3 linked regions of the Cricetulus griseus genome follow. The protein of the gene in region 3 interacts with the protein of the main gene of each other region in a pairwise test. Links are inferred from orthologs where the notes say so. Each region holds a gene or a part of one and is shown on either strand. Other genes may lie near its edges.

The links.
Region 1: the proteins of Rint1 (region 3) and Sgf29 interact in binary tests that used the Homo sapiens proteins (3 or more experiments, as listed by UniProt). The two-hybrid records come from large-scale screens. The link is inferred for Cricetulus griseus from reciprocal best matches to the Homo sapiens genes RINT1 and SGF29.
Region 2: the proteins of Rint1 (region 3) and Fam81b interact in binary tests that used the Homo sapiens proteins (3 or more experiments, as listed by UniProt). The two-hybrid records come from large-scale screens. The link is inferred for Cricetulus griseus from reciprocal best matches to the Homo sapiens genes RINT1 and FAM81B.

The regions. Positions count from the first base shown.
Region 1 is NC_048596.1:74,077,103-74,080,735, reverse strand, and holds the end of Sgf29 (SAGA-associated factor 29), read left to right. Parts: intron 1-1,239; coding exon 1,240-1,304; intron 1,305-2,100; coding exon 2,101-2,230; intron 2,231-2,297; coding exon 2,298-2,444; intron 2,445-2,632; coding exon 2,633-2,668; intron 2,669-2,751; coding exon 2,752-2,914; intron 2,915-3,178; coding exon 3,179-3,295; 3' UTR 3,296-3,388; downstream 3,389-3,633. UniProt on the Homo sapiens protein: Chromatin reader component of some histone acetyltransferase (HAT) SAGA-type complexes like the TFTC-HAT, ATAC or STAGA complexes.
Region 2 is NC_048595.1:297,337,958-297,340,307, reverse strand, and holds the end of Fam81b (protein FAM81B), read left to right. Parts: intron 1-1,407; coding exon 1,408-1,541; 3' UTR 1,542-1,799; downstream 1,800-2,350.
Region 3 is NW_023276806.1:170,823,788-170,828,018, forward strand, and holds the start of Rint1 (RAD50-interacting protein 1), read right to left. Parts: upstream 2,807-4,231; 5' UTR 2,726-2,806; coding exon 2,648-2,725; intron 2,452-2,647; coding exon 2,406-2,451; intron 1-2,405. UniProt on the Homo sapiens protein: Involved in regulation of membrane traffic between the Golgi and the endoplasmic reticulum (ER); the function is proposed to depend on its association in the NRZ complex which is believed to play a role in SNARE assembly at the ER.

The sequences.
Region 1 (3,633 bases), on a different chromosome or scaffold from region 3:
AGAGTTTCTCTGTGTAGACTTGACTGTCCTGGAACTTGCTCTGTAAACCAATCTGGCCTCAAACTCAGAGATAAACCTGCCTCTGCCCTCCAAGTGCTGTTATTGAAGGCATGCACCACCACTACCCAGCTAAATTTTATTAATTAATTTATTTATGTATTTATGCATTTTATGTATATGTGTGCTCTATCTGTTTATATGCCTGCATGCCAGGAGAGGGCATCAGATCCCATTCTAGGTGGTTGTAAGCCACCATGTGGGTGCTGGGAACTGAACTCAGGACCCTAAGAAGAGTAGCCAGTTCTCTTAACTGCTGAGCCATCTGTCCAGCCTTAGTAAACTTCTAAATCAGTGGCATGGTCATTACTATAATCAAGTGTGATTGAGTGTATATGATTGTATATGCCCTGCATATATGTGACTGTCAGTGCAGAGAATATGATATGTTTCACTGTGACATTAAGCTGGCAGTGGTGCCATGAGGCAGTAAAATCCTGTGGGGCCACTGTCATAGGATTGTGGCATAGAAAGACCTGTTAACTGAGATATCAGGGGTAGTGCCTATTTCTATTTAGGGGCTATAGTTTCATTTATTTTTTTCATTGTTTTTATTACTATCTTGTGTATACATGTGGTATATATATGTTTATGAAGTATGTACCTATATTTGTGTAGGTCCTCAGGCATGTGAGTGTGCATGCCCATGGGTGAGAATGCATGTATAAGGCAGTGGTTGATACTGGATGTCTTCCTTGATTATTGTCCACCTTAGTTTTTGAGACGGAGTTTCTCACTGAACCTGGAACTGATTGATTTGGCTAGGCTGTTTGGCCAGTGAACTCCAAAGACCCAGCTGTCTCCACAGTAATGCAGTGCTGGGATTGCAGGCACACACCACCATGTCTGGCTCTCAGATGGGTTTTGGGAATCTAACTCAGATGCTCAGGCTTGCACAACAGGCACTTAATTCACTGGGCCATCTCTATAGCCTCTCCTTCTTTGTTTGAAGCAAGGTCTCACTCTAGCCCAGGCAAACCCGGAGCTCTTTGTGTAGCTAAGATGGCATCAAACTCACTCCAGGACTACTACAGCCTCCTACACGGTAGGATGACAGGTGTCAGCCACCACACGCAACAGGATCTGTAGTTTTCAGCATAGACTTGGTCTGGGGAGTCCAGATCGCCAAGAAGCATACGCTGAGTGCCTCACCCAGCACTCTTTTCTCCCTTCTTTGCCTAGCATCCTCCGAAAAGCATTGGATAAGATAGCTGAGATCAAGTCTCTGCTGGAAGAGAGGCGGATAGGTGAGTGGGAGAAAATGCAGGGTATTTCTTGACCAGGCCAGGTGGGGGCTGGGGGGAAGCAGTCATAGCCTTGGCAGGGGAATATGGGACATAGGTTGGTGGGGTCACCCAACAGAGCTGTCTGAAACAGACTCAGAGGCAGAGAGTTTGCTTAGTTCTTGCCTAGACCCAGGAAATTTTGTCCCACCACTCACACTGCCCTGCTCACTCTAGCCAGGGCTGGTCATCTCTCTCCTTCCTACCGCTGCTCCCTCTGTGGCATGCTTTGGTGGCCACATGTAAGCTGGCTTAGCCCCCTACCTTGTAGGTTCCTCAGGTGCCATTGCCTTGGCTTCCTGACTTCTGTCTTGTCCCAGATGCAACTCTTTACCCCATATCACCATCATGGTACCATTTTTGTTTTTAGTTGAAGAGTGTGATGAGCCATGGCTGATGAGACCAAGGATCCACACTAGATAATTTGTGCAACTTTTGTTGAAATTACATACACTAGTAGAAAGAAGATACATTCCAGGAATTTTCATTGACCCAGCACATTTATATATCCAGCATCCTGGTCAGGAGACATAATATAACCTATATCCTGGAAACCCTCCTTTTTAGTTCCACTCCACGATGGTGGCCACTGTCCTGACATCTCACCCACTTGAGTTAGGCTGTCAGTTCCTGACCTTAAGAAGGGGTGTGGATGGTTTTGGGATCCTGGTATAAAGTGCTCCAACTCAGAGCAGTTGCTGGGGTGTGACTGGGTCAGACACCATCCACTTGGCCTCAGGGGTTCACTTGCTTCCCACAGCGGCCAAGATCGCAGGTCTCTACAATGACTCGGAGCCCCCACGGAAGACCATGCGCAGAGGCGTGCTGATGACACTGCTGCAGCAGTCAGCCATGACCCTGCCCCTCTGGATCGGGAAGCCTGGTGACAAGTGAGGGCAGGAACTAGCCAGAGAGGGCTGGTGACAGGGAGCCAGACTAACGGGCTTTCTCTCACAGGCCCCCACCCCTCTGTGGAGCCATTCCAGCCTCAGGGGACTATGTGGCCAAACCTGGAGACAAGGTGGCTGCTAGAGTGAAGGCTGTGGATGGGGATGAGCAGTGGATCCTAGCTGAAGTAGTCAGTTACAGCCATGCTACCAACAAGTGAGTGTGTGCCTGACCTTGCATTCTCACCACTCCAGCTTCTGCAGCATGGGAGGAAAACTCCCCCCAAAGGGTGCTGGGTGGTGCTCTCTCGAGCTTCTCCATCCCCTTTTCACCCTCTCTCAGCCTTACTCTTGGATGCAAACCGCTCTTTGTCCCAGAACTGTTTCCCTTTTGTTTGCCCACAGGTATGAGGTAGATGACATTGATGAAGAAGGCAAAGAGTGAGTGTCCCGGTGGGGAGCAGTGGAGAGTCACCAAGCTTCTGGGAGAAGCCTCCTGGTCACGGCCTGTATTGTTCCCCCAGGAGACACACCCTGAGTCGGCGGCGCATCATCCCACTGCCCCAGTGGAAAGCTAACCCTGAGACAGACCCTGAGGCCTTGTTTCAGAAGGAGCAGCTGGTGCTGGCCCTATATCCCCAGACCACCTGCTTCTACCGTGCCCTGATCCACACACCCCCACAGCGGGTAAGGAGCCACATGAAAGGCCTTTGATGACACCAGAACCTTAAGGGTTGGTCCCCATCATTCTTCAGCTTGCCTGCTTGCTGCCTTCTTGTTGTCCTTCATCTCCTAAACATAGGCTTTCCCAGTAGCACCAGACCCCTTGACTTGAGAGCAGAGAAGAAAGTAGGAGAGGCAGGCAGGGAGATGCATCTGGGGCTCTGGGCAAGGAGGGGCTGCCCTGGCCTAGAAGCATCTTGACCAGCCCTTCCTGTGTGTGCTCTACAGCCTCAGGATGACTACTCAGTCCTGTTTGAAGACACTTCCTATGCAGACGGCTACTCCCCTCCTCTCAATGTGGCCCAGAGGTACGTGGTGGCTTGTAAGGAGCCCAAGAAAAAGTGAAGCTGGCTGGCTGGCTTGAGTCTGCCACTGCCGACCTCATGGGAGAAGGCAACAAACGAGTTCCTGTAATAAAATAAATACTCTTCCCTCTCACCATGTCTCCTGGGCCTCACTACTTCAGACCTCCCTGCCCTCCTCCATCAGGCACATGGGATTGGTGGCCGCAGGAGGGAGAAGGCCCAGTCAGCTCCCAGTGACATTTATTCTTTCAGGTAAAATACAGTTTATGTCTTCTGTTGTTGCATGCTTGGGTTCCTTTTCAGTGCACGGATCAATTGCTTTCCTGACACGTGTTGGTAAAACCCTCTTCATTCAGATACTACCCAAGTCCTGTTCAT
Region 2 (2,350 bases), on a different chromosome or scaffold from region 3:
TGAGGAACACAAGGTTCTTTTATTAAAGAAAGCTCTAATCTGGGTTGTGTCCTCCAAGTCTTAGAAAATACACATGTAAATCACACAAAATTTTGGCCCCACAGAGGCACACTGCAGTTGAGTTAAGAGGGTGTTATAGCCTTCATCCACCTAGTGTTCCTGGCATGTAAGCAGAACTTAATGTCTAGAAAGCTAACCCTCACATGCCCTACCTCCTTCCACCAAGTTAAAATAGTGACTTACATGGCCAAGAGCCATATCCGAAACTCCATGGACTCTTCTGACAAGGGCCCTCTTTGCTTTGTTTTCAGAGGTTTAATTATGCTTATTGTTGCTTAGGGTGAGTAGAAGAGAATTTTTCAATCTTTGTCCTTTTTTGTTTAGTAAGTGGGAATTCTAGCTAAGAGAGAGTATAAATGAGTGGTTTACTCCTTTGTGCTTTTAATAAAAAGGTGTTGAGAAGCAAATATGTGGATGACCTCAGGGAGTAGGGAATGGGCTGTCCTCTAAGCTTGTGGTCGGACAAGCCTATGGCCCTGAGGGACAGACATGAGTAAAACAGATAGAGAGCACTGGGTGAGAAGAGGATAGGAAGAGGGTAGGAAGAAGGTGAGAAGAGCGTAGGAAGAGGGTGGGAAGAGGGTTGGAAAAGGGCAGCTGGCCCCACTTTTTAGTTCCTTCAAGCAGGGTACTTGTCAAGGGAGTAACAGGAATATTTTTAAAGCCCACAAATCTTTTTTGACGTCTACAGAGAGAAGAGAATATTTTAAGTATCTCCTGAAAGATAGAATTGTTAGATAGTATGTGATGATGGAGGTTCTGTCTCACTAGTCCCACAGCTGTTTAGCCCCAAATAAACACACAGAGACTTACATTAATTATAAACTGTTTGGCCAATGGCTTAGGATTCTTACTGGTTAGCTCTCTCTTAATTATTAACCCATAACTATTAATCTATTTATTTCTACATGGCCTTATCTTACCGGAGAATGCCAGGAACTGTTACTCCTTCAACAGCTACATGGTATCTCCATGGCAGCTCACTCTCTGAGTCCTCTCCCCAGAATTCACTTTGTTGGATAGCCCTGCCTATACTCCTGCCTGGCTACTGATCAATCAGTGTTTTATTCATCAACCAATAAGAGAAACATATATACAGAAGGACATCCCTCATCAAATATGTTTACAGAGAGGGGAAAGAAAACAGTTTTCACAATAAATCCAGATTCCAGTTAAGCTGCTATGAACTAATTCATCTTTGTATATTTCTATATTTGTCTTAATAGAATTTAATGTGCTTTGAATTAAATGATGATCAATTATGGAAGGACTGCTGAAGAACAATTTTGGAGATGGGAGAGATCCAATGCATTGTTTTAGTGTATCTATTCTCTTTTCCTCTTCTAGGATTTAAGTCAATTCATGACTCCCTCAGCTCTCTCCAACAAATACAGAAAACAAAAATGGATTTAGAGAAATATAAAGTACAGAAAGATCTAAAGAAATTACAGCGGAAAATAGTGGAACTCCAGGAAGTATAACTTTGAAGTTACTTTCTTTCCCACTAGCTAGTGGGATAAGCTGTGAAGAAGAAAATTAACATCTTTAGGATGCTGACTACTTCTAGTGTTTCCTATCATCTCTAAAGGAAATTGGTTTACCAGGAAAAAAATACATTAAAGCAAAAGGCTTTGTGATTCCTTTATTTATTAACGAAAAATTAAGAAATTTCTTTACATGCACATTTTGTTAAATTTTTACTTGCCCACAAATAAGGGAAGAACAATCTACATTGTGAATGCAAATGAATAAAATAAATTCAGGCATTCCAGTGATGAACTGGTGACTCTGCCTGAAAATAACAGCCATGATGTGGCTACAATTTGTTATTAACATGAATTTTGTTCATTATTGCAAAAACACATCTCCTTTTCAAAAGAAACATCACTGTTTTTAGCACTAGCATTTGAGATCAAAATAGTTTACACATTTATGATCAAAATACTTCATAAACTATATGGGAAACATCTGTGGGATGTATACACCAGAAGGCTAATTTACAATTTCTGACTCAGAAAATTATCTTTTCTAACAAAAGCAATGTCGATAGCAAATCTAATTTATGCATATTTAAAATACATTATCATTGTACTTAATATGTATTAGAATTGTAAGTACTGTCCCTTGCAAAACAAAATATACCAGCTTCCACTAAAAATACTCCACAATATTTAGCCTACATGCTAAACTCAAAAGTATCTCAAAACCAATGATTTCTTATCAACTCAAAACACAGTTTAAATATTGAGCAGTTGTGTTTGCATTTCTGTTCCTGTGATAAAGCACCCTA
Region 3 (4,231 bases):
TTAATTTTGGTTTCCTAAGAGAGGATCTATGGGCTGGAAATAGCTCTTGTTGCTTTTGTAGAAGACCAGGATTTGATTTCCAGCACCCACCTGACAGCTTAGAACCATCTCAACTCCAGTTCCCAGGGATCTGAAGCCCTCTTCTGGCCTCCTCTGGCACCAGACATATATATGGAACTCAGACATACATGCAAGCAAAACGTCATAAAAATAAAAAAAGTAAATTTAAAAAAGAGGAGAGTCTAGGCTTAATTATACAGCACATAACTAAAAAATAAAGATCTAAAAAAACAAAAGATAGGCTCTAAATATATGACCTAAACTGGTCTCCAAATCATGGCAATCCTTCTGCCTCAACCTCCTAAGGGCTGGGATTTCAGACATGAGCCACCACACCTGGCTTGGGAAGTTTTTATGTCTCTCCCTTTTAATCTTATATATAAAGAACATTCAGCATTGCACAGCAGTTGACTGAGCCCCTGAATACGCAAGGACAAAGTCCTTAATGAAGTGGTTTGTGCCTAACATTCTAAAATGACATATCAGTTGATGTCAAAAAGAGTCAAAGCATCTTAGTGTGACAAAGGTAGAGAAGGAAAGGGTTGTTTGTGTTTCTGTGGTGATATTTTGTTTATGATCTAACAAATAAAGCTTGCGTGAAGATCAGGGGGCAAAGCTAGCCACACTAGCTAGCCATAGAGGCCAGGCAGTGGTGGCACACACCTTTAATCCCAGCACTAGAGAGGAATATAATACAGGAGGAGACAGGAGCTCATCAGTCTGAGGTTTGGAGACCAGTGCAGTCAGAGGAGCAGTGCAGACTGAAGATGCAGTCTGAGGACACGATCACCCTTTTCCACCTGAGCACTGGTAGAGGTGAGAACTCTCTAGTGGCTAGCCAGTTTGCTTTTCTGATCTTCAGTTTTAACCCCTACATCTGTCCTTGGGTTTTTATTATTCCTGCTACATGTTTTTGGTTTGGTTTTGTTTTGAACTTTTGAAGATTTTATTTTAATGTGTATAGGTGTTTTGTCTTCATGTATGTCTGTGTGCCACATCCATTCAATCTACAGAGGCCACAGACCCAGAAAATGGCATTGAATGTCCTAGAACTATAGTTACAAGTGGTGGTTAGCCACCCCATGGGTGTTGAAAATTAAACCCAGTTCCTCTGGAAGAGCATCAAATACTCTTAACAGCTAAGCCCATTTTTTGTTTGTTTGGTGGTGGTGCTTGAGTCCAAACCCCCAGATGCTAAAGTGCTAGGCAAGAGCTCTGCCACTGTAATAAATATCTCCCAGATCATTTCTGCTTTTTTAAAAAATGATTTGTTCATTTATGTGCACGTGTGTTTGCTTCCATGAGTTTACCTGTACCAAGTGTAAGCAAGAGCCCCAAGAGGTGAGAACACGGCATTTATAATCCTGAAACTAGAGTACTGAGCCTTCACCTGGGTTCTGGACCAAAGGTCCTCTGTAAAAGTAGCAAGCACTCTTAAGCACCAAGCAATCTTTCCAGATCCAAGAAGAATTAAGGGGGGAGGGGTTTATCAGTAGCTAATAGTAAGAGCAAGCCTTATTGCTAGGAGCCACGTGGTGACATGAGCCCCCTTTCTCTTAGTGCTAATTTCTATCAGTCTGCTTGTCCAGGTCATTGAACTGAACTCTAACACGCAAAAAAGCCATTACTTGCTCTTCTCCTTCCTCTAAAAAAGAGGGAATCCTTCAAAAGCTCCTGAAGGGATTAGACATACTGCATCTGGGAGATAGAGGCAGAAGGATCAGTAGTTCAAGGTCATCCTTAGTCACATAGTAGTCGGTGGTCAACCTGGGCTACATTTGAGTTTGTTTCAAAAAAAAAAAAAAAAAACACAAAATAACAAAAACAGCCCCTGAAGAGTACTGGATTTCTAATAACCTGCTATGCTTATCTTATTACAGTTGAATGACAAATATCCACATTTCTGGAATATTTTCCTGTCCTAGGTAGGAAATGGAGGCACCAGATCTTTCCCTGTCCCCTATCCAGACCAAGACCCAAGGCCTAAGTTGTGTTCTACCTGCAGCAAATTTTAATTACAAATTTACTAAAGGTAAAAGTATAAGTGAGCAGTTATCTAACCTCCTCCTTGAACCCAGCAACACTCCCTCCTGATAACAAGCTGCTGTTTCATTAAAATAACAGGCCCCAGTGAAGTCACACCAGTCAGGGCACTAGGTAGAGTCTCAAAGTTCTCTTCTGTATTTTACAGTCTTAAAGAGACAGAAGTCCTCGTGCAACTAGTATTTATTGCTATTTAAACAACCTACAGGGGAAAAAAATAACTCGTTTAAAAGGTAGCAGGCCGCGCCACCTCTTTTGCAGAGCCTGGAAGAGTGTGCTGGGAGGGTGTGGAGGCGGCTTACTTTTCTCCTCCGCGTTCTTCACTCTGTCACCGCCTTCGGGGCAGCACTGGCAGAAAAACACGAGCGGCAAACAAGTTAGACTCCAGGAAGTGTGGTTCGCACCGGCCTCCCAAGGCCCTGCTGTCGGTGGGGGCCTCGGCCTCTCCCGGGGGCTGCGACCTGCACTGCCGGGACCCTCCCCGGGACAGCGGCGGCTCTGCACCGCGGCGGCCTCCCTCCCCCGGGCTTCCGGGGACGCTCACCGGGGCCGCCGGCTCCTGGCCCGCTTCGCCAGCTGCGAGCATCCTGCCTCGATTCCATCCGCCGCCCGCCCGGCTCATACAGCCCAGCCAGGGCAGCCGCGAGCAAAGTAAGCAGTGCCGCCACCTCGACTTCCGCTCGCCCTCTCGCTGGTTCCGTTCTCGCAGGCTAGAGAGACAGACCCACCTGCGTCGCCGCTGTCCTGTTCCACGGCGCCACCTGCTGCTTGGCTGTCAGATCGGCTGCGCAGGAAACCCAAGTGGCTCTCCTACTTCCCAGCCTGGTATGGGCTAGCATCCTCCCCTGTGTCAGAGCTCCTTCACTTTGCAGTTAATAAAAACAGAATTCGGCCCTGGCCGAGTGACTCACACTGGTAATCCCACCATTTGGGAGGTGAGGGAAGGCAGGAGGATCGAGAGTTCAAAGTCAGCTCCAGCTATTTACTGAGCTCAAGGCGCCCTTGAGTACACTGGAGAGATGGCTCAGAGGTTAAAAGCACTGGCTGCTCTTCCAAAGATCCTGAGTTCAATTCCCAGCAACCACATGGTGGCTCACAACCATCTGGAATCAGATCTGGTGCCCTCTCTGGCCTTCAGGGACATATGCAGACAGAACACTGCACACATAATAAATAAATAAATTTAAAAAAGAAAGAAAGAAAGAAAAGAAAATACTTTGGCTTTGGCCCTCTCATGGGAGGCAAGTCTCGTGATTCAGAAGCAGAGGCAGGAGGATTGCCACTAGTTTCTGTGTCAGCTAGGGGGCAACATGGAGAATGCCTATCTCAACATGACTTAGCCTGTACAAGAACTTGCCACCAAGACACCTGTGTTCCATATGGTGGAAGAAGAGAAGCAACTCCTGCAAGTTGTCCTCCGACCTCCACGTACCTCTTCGATCGCCCCACCAATAAATAAAAGTTTAAAAATTCTAAGTAATAATAGAGCTCTCTCCATGTCATAGATCTTATATGAAACTGCAAATTTATATAAATGTTTAGATACTATCCTGATGTTCTGAAAATTAGCATGGTGGCCAGAGCCAGAGCAGGTTATTTGGTTTGGCATGGATTTACTAATGAATGCCAGCACCAGATCTTTATTTAATGCTGGTCAGATTGCATAGAGATGACCTTCATCTTTTCCAACTGGAGAGCCCAGATCTATTTGTAAGGGGGTTGAAGCATCCTGGAAGCCTGATAGAAGAAAAGCACTCAAAATCTATCATGCATTTTGCCTGGCAGAGCCCCCCAACCCTCTACCATTTTCCGGATAGGTAGAGCACATCTGACAACCTCACAAGCAAATCCTGGAAGGCAAAGCAAATGGGGCCCCAGCAGGAAAAAAATCTTTATAGAAAACAGAAGCTACTCAGTGAGAAGAAAACTCACTGTCATGTAGACATATGCAGACAAAACACCTATATACATAAAATGAAAATAAAAATTAGGAGCCAGGAGTGGTGGTGCGTGCCTCTTAGCCCAAAACTCAGAAGGCAAGAATCTTTGTAAGTTCAAGGACAGCCAGAGTCACATGAGACTATGTCTCAACAAATAAATATTAGGGTCTGGAGAGATGGCTTCAGCA